2 linked regions of the Oryctolagus cuniculus genome follow. The protein of the gene in region 1 purifies or fractionates together with the protein of each later gene. This does not show direct contact. Links are inferred from orthologs where the notes say so. Each region holds a gene or a part of one and is shown in the gene's direction. Other genes may lie near its edges.

Region 1 (4,332 bases):
TCAGCTTGTGCTTTGAGTGTTTCCACCCAAGAAACCTGTAAATGTTAAATCTGTAAATATTAAATAAGGGTAGGAAAATGGTTTCTTATAATAACGGTGTATACATAAACGTGGACCTTTTTGAATACTGTTGGAGCTAATGCAGGCTTGCCCAGTCAACAAAGTGTCACGTGGGTTATGCAAGTAGCATCTCATTTAAGCCCCATTCACTGAGCATTCAGGAGCCTACACTGTGTCAGGTGCAGTCCCAGCTGGACCAAGCAGGTGTTCTGTTTATAGGTGGGAATCTGAAGCCCAGAGAGTGAGCCATGTTTATGGTCACACAGTAAGTTCAATGCTCTGCTGTTAGTTTGTGCCAAGATCTATGCCTTTAAATTTTTTTTAAATAAAGATTTGTTTACTTGAAAGGCAGAGTGATGGAGAGAGAGAGAGAGACAACTTCCGTCTGCCGGTTCACTCCCCAAATGACCAAACTGGCCAGGGCTGTTCCAGGCCAAAGCCAGGAGCCAGTATCCCCATCTAGGTCTCCCACGTGGGTGGCTGGAGCCCAAGCACTTGAGCCATCAGCTGCTGCTTTCCCAGGCAGAACAGCAGGGAGCTGGATCAGAACTGCAGCAGCCAGGATTCCAGCAGGCTTTCCTTAGAGGACGCCAGCCTTGCAAGTGGCCGCTTCACCTTCTGCTCCACGGTGCCAGCCCCTCCTAAAGATGTAACCCATGTGCAAACAGCTGACGATGGGAAATGCCACGGAGACAACTTCAGGGGTTGGGAACTCTTTTCTGCCGAGTGCCATTTGGAAATTTGTAACATCTCCGTGGGCCGTGGAGCATTACCAACTTAAAAGTTAGCCTGCTCCACGAGTCCCGCCTGCAGCTGCCTTGGCAGGGCCGGACCAAGTGATAGTTCCCCAGCCTTGGTAGAGAGTAGTTGGTTCCCAGGAAATGGGGGGGGGGGGGACGGAAACATCCTCTCCTGTCCTCTGTGCACCAGGGAAGAGCTGGAGCAGTTCTCTGTGGGTTACGGAGGCGAGGGCGGCGCAAGGGTCTGCAAATGCACGCGGCTGCGAGGCCGAAGCCGCTCCCTGGGTGGCGCAAGGTGGGGGTGGGCTGCTCCTCGGGCGGACGCCCCTGTCGGCTGCAGGGAGCCCAGGCGCCCGGCGGACGCCCACACATCCGGCGCTCAGTGCCTGCCCAGCCCAGCGCTCCAGGGGATCCAGCCCCGGCGCCGCGTCCCCGCCCTGGCGCAGGCGCCTTTAACTCCCGGGCTCCTCCCGCCCCTTAGGAATCCAATGAGAGAGGGGCGGCCGGCGCGAGGGCCAATGGGCGCCGGCGACAGTGCGGGGTGTGGTTGCCAGGGGGCGGGGCCCGGCCGCCGGCCAGACTTGCCACCCCAGCAGCGGCGTCTGGGGGTCTGCCCCTGCTTGCCGTTCCGGAGAGCCGGCCATGGAGGCGTCGCGCTGTGGACTGGCTCCCCACGGGTACAGGTCGGAAAGGCACGCACGAGGCTGGTCTCCCGTGGAGCGGACAGAGGGACGAGGGCGGAGGCTCCGGGGGAGAGGGCGGGGCGTCGGGCGGGGGCGGCGCGCCCCCTCCCCGCTTTCAACCTGGGACCCTCAGATTCGGACAGGCGGGCGTCGGGGAGCGCGGGCTCGCAGACCCTCGGTACCCAGAGAGGGCTTTTTGTGCAGGTCGCCGCTCGGGCTCCTGGAGTTTCTTGAGAAGCTGGCCTCGTTTACCCAGTGCGGGGTCCTCGTCCACGCCGCGGGGGGGACAAGTTTTGAAGATGAAGGGGAGAAGTTTAATGCACTAGTGGATGAGGAGGGTAGCAGACCGTGGATTCAAGAACAGCCGTCCTGGGTCTGGGGTGTTAGGGAGGACGTGGCCGCTGGCTGGTCAGGAGCACAGGGCGCCCAAGGTAACAGGGTATTTTATAAGTCTCCGAAGTTGATGGCTTGGATTTATCAGGAGGGCGTGGCAGGATGTTCTGTACAGCTGAGAAGGAGGCCAGGTATCCTGTCAAAGAGATTTTTCCCTGGCTCCTTCGCCCAGGTGAAGCCCGTTCGTTCAGCAAAGAGCGGCTGCTGGGCTGTGCTCCTAGTAACCCCTTTGCATTCTGTCAGGGTGAATTCAGTTCAGTGACTTTCTCTGGTTGTGTTGGCCCGGAGGGATGCATTGCTTTGCAACTTCAGCTGGCTTCGCCAAGGCCGCTTTCTGGGATTCACAAGCGAGTGCAATGTGTGTGTGAGAGCAGATGCGCAGTGTAGTTAGTCCCAAACTCAGCAGGTAGCTTGTGTTCATCTGAATACGACAAGGACTAGAAAGGGGGCTTCAGCGTGGTTGCATCCCTGCTCCGCCGGGCCCCCGTCTCTGGCTGCTCTGCCCCTCCATGTCTCAGCCGAGGAGCCACCAAGACTTCCCGCGATGAGGCCAGGCGGAGGTTGAGGGTGATATTTAGTCATCTGCTCCACCGCCGTTGCTTTTGGCAGGCAGTGCTGAGTTCTGGAAGGGAGTCGCCAGGCTGAAAATGGGGAACTGGATTTTCTTCCCCCTGCTTTCCCGTGGCTGCCTCTCAAGCGGGATGTTCTGCCTTGTTTTCTGATGTACTCTAGACTTTGTGCCCTCCCCCGTTCCTGCCCCTGCCGGAGGGAAAGCCCGGGAAAGGAAAGAATCCGAACCTCAGCCTGTGGATTTTCTTGTTGACGAGGCTAATGAAAAGTTAACAAGGAGCAGTGCGGCTTAAAGCTTTGGCCCTCCCGTCTGAAGATTCAGATCCTACTGGCCAGTCCTGCCTGTTCCCAGCCTTTTATTCCATTACCACGGCAAACGAACACTTGGCATTTGAGGGTTTAGTCTGGTGCTTAACTAGTAGACGTTTAGATGATTCTGAATCATTTTTAAAAGCTGTCACAGGGCTGGCGCCGCGGCTCACTAAGCTAATCCTCCGCCTTGCAGCGCCGGCACACCGGGTTCTAGTCCCGGTCGGGGCGCCGGATTCTGTCCCGGTTGCCCCTCTTCCAGGCCAGCTCTCTGCTGTGGCCAGGGAGTGCAGTGGAGGATGTCCTAAGTGCTTGGGCCCTGCACCCATGGGAGACCAGGATAAGTACCTGGCTCCTGCCATCGGATCAGCGTGGTGCGCTGGCCGCAGCGCGCTGGCCACAGTGGCCATTGGAGGGTGAACCAACGGCAAAAGGAAGACCTTTCTCTCTGTCTCTCTCTCTCACTGACCACTCTGCCTGCCAAAAAAAAAAAAAAAAAAAGCTGTCACAGAGGAGGCGCTCAGGGAGAGAGCCCCCGTTTTCCTCCCCGAATGAGTCCTGTTTGTGATGGCTGCATTCGTTGTTGCTTTTTTCCCCTCCAAGTCAAGAGGAAAAGAAAAAATCTACATTTTCAAATACAGGTATGGAGATGCTGTGTAGAGATGAAGTCAGCACTCAGTTTCTCTGAATTGAGATGGCACTTGTTCAGTTGTGGACGGTCAGTTTTCAGTTGAATTTAAAGCAGTAAATTTCGTGAGCACCAGATGTTTGATATGACTCATGATGTTTGAACAAGAAAAAGAAAATGAGGTGGACTTGGAAATTAGAGCCAGGAGGCAAAAAATTTTTTTTATTGTACCTGAAGTTTAAAGATGTAAATTTAAAGTTTCTCCCCTCTTTTTCTTCCTAGAGAAACCAGCTGCTTATTAAAACTGACATCAAAGGGGAACGTGTGAGTCCCTGAGTGTGTTTGCTGGGCTGGGTAATGTTAGTGCAGCTTCTGCCACTGTAGCATTCGCTGCTGTAGCCACTGTTGCATCCGTCTCTTGTCCAAAGGGAGTGCGTGTCTTTTGCTGTTGGGCTTCAGGTTGTGTGTTCCGTGTCCTTTTGATGAAATACATTGATAAGTTTTCAGTATTAATACTTTATGTGAGGATAGCATCTTTTAGTTTTGCAGTGATTTTATTTTTCTCTGAACTCTGTGACTGTTGAAAAGAAATCCGCCTCATGGAAAAACAGAGCGGAAGAATTATTAACAAGTACGCTTCAACTGTTTCCCTCCTCTAACATATTTCGTGAGGCTTGGAGACCGAGCCGGGAGCAACACTCCAGATTTGCTTGAAGCCGGGCGTTGTGTGCGTTTTAACGAGCACAGGTTACCCGCAGACCACCGGGTTTGGTGAGCATTGGAACTCTGAGCTCTGTCTGCCTTTGTTGGCGACACAGAACTGAAGGTGTGCCGTGACCTTGTGACCTGGAGTTGTCCTAGAAGCGTCCTGGCCTCCAGTTTATATCCCTGCGCCGTGATTGCTGAACAGTGCTGCTGAGACCTGTGATCGGGGTGAAGGGTGGAAGCT
Region 2 (4,521 bases), on another chromosome or scaffold:
TCAACAGGTTATCTTCTTGTCCACCACAGAAGTTTCTTCTCCTCCAACATGAGTTTTAAAGTATGGGAAACCCCTATTAAAAATGCTAATCATCCAATAAGGCTGTTATAGAGATTTCTGGTGGCACTTGGTCTAAGTCTGAGAATATGAACCAACAGCTGAGTCCAGGATTAACAGAAACCCTTGAAGCACTCAGTGAGTGATCACCTCCATTCACCAGCTCCCCTCTGCAAATAAACGAGGTACACATTTTACCTATAATATGTGTGTTTTTCTGGGCCAAAGTGTCTTTCATTTTGACCAGATGTTGCAAGCCTCCTAAAATAAATAATTTCTGATTTTGAATTCGCAATCTCTTTAACTCTTGATCCTCATGATGCTAACTTTGTGAGATTGGTAACGTTTACTCTCATTTCACCGATGAAAGTGGGTGAGAGGCAAGTTAAGTGACTTGCACAACTGATACCAGAACCCAGGTCCACTACACCTTAGCCTAACACTTCTCCCCTGTGCCGTTCCCGAAAAGCTTCGGTCAAGTGCATCCTACTCACTGACTCACACATTTTAAACGCTGGATCCGTCTCCACTGCTCAACTAACCCAACTTCTTTTCTACAAACAGGGAAACTAAGCAGCAACCAGTGACTAACCAGAGTGAGAACCACGGTTAAATAGTTTGGGGACTGGGCTGTTCTAATGGAAGCCACAGTTTGCATTTCCCAGGAGAGGGGACAGAAACCTTGCGCAGTCCGCGCCACACCGACGGCTCTGCCATTTCCTAGCCGTGTGCCCAAAAGCAAGCCACTTCAGCATTCGATGCTGGCGGGAAGACCTCCCCCGACGCGGTTCTGAGGATGCGTTTCCTAACAAGGCAGGCCACCCTCGCCTCACAGCACACGCACGCCCGGACGCCTCCCGTTGCTGCTCCCGCGGCCCGGGTCGAACGGGAGACCTCTCCCGGCGCCTCTTCGCTTCCCTCAGCTCCCCCAGTCGCTTCGGGGCCGGAAGCGGGGCGCACCCTGGGCTGACCCAGCTCTCAGTACCTCAAGCCCAGAAAGGCCCACCCCGCCTACTCGCCAGCTCCCATTTTACAAGGGTGAAGGGGCGGCCCGAAAGGGGACAGTCACTTGCCCGAGGTCGCAGGGCTGGGCTGGGGCTGGGCGCTCGCTACAGGAGACCGCAGGGGCAGCTCCGCCATCCCCCAGGCTCGGGCTCTCCATCTCAGCCGTGCCACCCTCAAAGCGGGCTCCAGCTGCGACCCACGGCCGAGAGCTACGAGGCCCTGGAGCGGAAGAGAAGCAAGAGGTAAAAACCTCTGCCCCTCAGGCCGCTGAGATAAAACCAGTCTGAATGTAGTGAATGAACGCGGGAAAGACTACACAGTTGCTTTCCGGCCGCCCCCGCCTCCATAACTACCACTTCCACGGCTCCGCCAATCATATCCTTTATCGGGGAAAACGTCCCGCCCCCTCTACCCGTCTCGACCAATGGCGCACGCCTTGGTGGCGCTTAACGCCTTCTGGGCTCCCTTCGTCGCTTTTACTGCTTTTCTCGCCCTCCCTTTTAGGCATGCGCACTCGGAGCTACGGGGGTCGCTCGCGCGCCGCTCACTGCGCATGTGCGTTGCCAGGGGTAGCGCGGGTAGCCAAATTGGCTCGTCGAGCGGAGCGGGTTGCTGAGGCGGGGAGGAGGGGCCCGAGTCGTGAGGGAAACCGCGATGAGGGCCGTGCTGACGTGGAGAGATAAAGTCGAGCAGTGGTGAGGCGCGGGGCAGTCTGGAGGAGCGGGGAGGGCGGAGCGCCTTCGGGGATGGCGGCAGCCGCGGCGGGAACCGGCGCGGTTGCCAGGGGCAACGGGCCTGCGGCCTGGGCGGAGGGCCGCGGACCGGGGGTCTGGGAGCCCGCGGGGTCACCCTCCCGGGGGCGGCGGCCGTTGGAGGCGTTTTGGGCATCCTCAGGGAGCGGTCCCTCGGCTGAACTCCGTCAGGGTCGCCGCGCCCGCGCGTTGCCCGTGCCCTCGGTGGCTGGATTTCTCCGCACCGCCGCACTGAACTTTCTCTGAAGTGCGGTTTTTAGGTTTCCCACGGAAACTTAGGTACAACGTGTATGAGAAACGAGTGTCGCTTGCTTTTAAGTGTCAGGGGAGTGTCCAAGTACAGCTGGGAGGCGCCCGGACGCCGCTGCCGGGGAGCGGGGCGGGCCTCTGGGCCCGGAGGGTGGCCGCTGCCCTCGAAAGGTGCTAAGGTGAACGGCAGCGAACCCGGCCCTGCTCGCCGGCTGGCGTGTTTCGTGCCCTTTAAAAGTCACCTGCACCGCCCATCACACCACGGTACATTTCGGGCAACACGGACTGCGTGGGTGATTCTCAGCCTGACTTTCAAGAATCTTCCTGGATGGTCTTTTCAGCCCCCTGGCCCAGTGGCGGGCCACGGGGGTCAGACATGTGTTCCCTGTCTTTGCTCATCTCACGGTGAGATCCTGGGCGTCCACTACGGGCCCCTTCGAGCAGTGCCGCAGCCATCTCCGTAGTGAGTGATGGCTTTGCGGCTACAAACTCAAGAGTTTGCGTGACAAACTCAAGAGCGTGCAGGGGTCAGGCAGGGACATAAATGAGAGATGCGTGTTGGTAAACGCAAGGAATGGTCCGTGTTCCTTAGGAATATTCTATCTTGCACCCTACATCGCTTGAAACACGTGGCGCGCTCAGTGTGTCGCTTATTTCTACTTTTAATAGACTTGAGTTTAAAAAAAAAAAACATACCTCTGTTGTGAAAGTGCCCCCAGTGCAAACTGGTGACACCTGGCACCTGCACGTGTGGCTTGGATGCCACCGAGTAAGAGTGACAAGGACGGTGGGAAACTGGAGAGCGCCTGCTGTACTCTGCCCGTTGCCACCATGTAGCAACTGGCCTTGTGTGCTCAGATCTTCCTGTTTTTACCAGAAGCTGCAAATCTGGGCTTCTCTCTGAAATGTCCTAATTTTTACATGTTGGCATCTAATCTGGAAAAACAAAAGAAAACACCATGTGGGCCAGACAAAACATTTGCTGGCCCAGTGCAGCCTGATTTGCTGTGTTCTCAACCCCTGGCACAGAATTTTGTTCATTTCTCTCTTGTGGTACTTAGAGTCTATCCAGAATAAAGGCCAATTTTTAATCTGTTTAATCCAGAAGTCTAGAAACTCTTTAAAAAGCAATGGCTATATTTTATTTATTTCCGGATTATTCCAGAGCTTGGTCAAGTTGGTGGTGGTTATTACTATTTGATGGCTACATGTATTCATCGAATGGATGAATAAGTGAGTGAGTAATGAACAAGCATTGATTATTTGGTTTTGGCCAGTCGTAGGTTTCTGTTAGAACAGAGGGCACACGGGTTCTGACGGCAGCTGGACAGTCAGTTGGTAGTCCAGAAGGACGCAGAACAAAACAAAAGTCTATAAAAAACAGAGAGTAGAACTCAACACAGATCAGCCCTTCCTCACTGACCCGGCCTCTGCCTCTTCGGCTTCCAGTCTGACCTTCACATGCGACAGACTCTGTTTCTAGACTGCGCTTACATTACAGGTCAGATCGTGCCTATGGCTAGGTGGTTCTTATGATCACTGTCCCCATGGGCTTGCTCACATTTGAATTTATCCTTTCCAGTTCAGCCTCCGACTTTTCCTACCCAAAGATCCTTCCCAAATGCTCTCTTAGGCGTCTGTGAACTCTGGTTTTCCCTTTTAAATGCAGTGCCTCAGGTTGATGTCACCCATGATGCCATATTTGCTGGCCCATCTTATTCCAGTCAGGCTACTCTCCAGCAGTATTTACAGAGTACCTGCTGCAGGCCAGATGTGGACACACGTTTCCTTGGTTAATCTCCACAGCAACCTGTGAGGTTGGGATTGTTATCCTATTTACAAAGGAGGAATCAGATTTAGTGAGGTGTCACAATTTGCCTAGGATTACAAAACAAGTAAGTGGCGCTAAGTGATTGTGTAGGGTTTGGAGAGTTGTCTCGGAATTTCAGTGTGCAGTGGGCTGGGTGCAAGATTGGCACAGGACAAAGGTTGGATAGAGAATTCACGCTCTATCTGTGCCATGGAATTTGATGATGTATCTTTTTTTTTATAATTCTGTTTCATGTTTTTAAGATTTATTTATTTATTTGAGAGGCAGAGAGAGAGAGAAAGACAAAGAGAGGTCTTCCATCTGCTGGTTCACTCCCCAAATGGTTGCAATGGCCGGAGCTGGGCTGACCTGAAGCCAGGAGCCAGGAGCTTCTTCCGGGTCTCACATGCGGGTGCAAGGGCCCAAGGACTTGGGCCATCTTCGCTGCTTTCTAGGCCACAGCAGAGAGCTGGATTGGCAGTGGAGCAGCCAAGACTCGAACCAGCGTCCATATGCCGGCTTTACCTGCTGCGCCACAGCACTGGCCCCAGTGATCTATCTTTTGACTCTGTCTTTTTGGTAAAAGGGGCAGTGGGAAGAGGGAGCCTCCTGCAGGGGTGCTGACTGCCTGCAGACCTGTGAGCCTGC

The links.
Region 2: the proteins of TULP3 (region 1) and IFT122 purify together in Homo sapiens (co-immunoprecipitation; 6 studies listed by BioGRID and IntAct, counting the BioPlex papers as one, with this or other methods). This does not show direct contact. The link is inferred for Oryctolagus cuniculus from reciprocal best matches to the Homo sapiens genes TULP3 and IFT122.

The regions. Positions count from the first base shown.
Region 1 is NC_091440.1:106,431,093-106,435,424, reverse strand, and holds the start of TULP3 (tubby-related protein 3), read left to right. Parts: upstream 1-1,367; 5' UTR 1,368-1,442; coding exon 1,443-1,492; intron 1,493-4,332. UniProt on the Homo sapiens protein: Negative regulator of the Shh signaling transduction pathway: recruited to primary cilia via association with the IFT complex A (IFT-A) and is required for recruitment of G protein-coupled receptor GPR161 to cilia, a promoter of PKA-dependent basal repression machinery in Shh signaling.
Region 2 is NC_091441.1:114,431,131-114,435,651, reverse strand, and holds the start of IFT122 (intraflagellar transport protein 122 homolog), read left to right. Parts: upstream 1-1,564; 5' UTR 1,565-1,716; coding exon 1,717-1,757; intron 1,758-4,521. Other genes in the region: MBD4 (methyl-CpG-binding domain protein 4), read right to left, coding at 1,131-1,219. UniProt on the Homo sapiens protein: As a component of the IFT complex A (IFT-A), a complex required for retrograde ciliary transport and entry into cilia of G protein-coupled receptors (GPCRs), it is required in ciliogenesis and ciliary protein trafficking.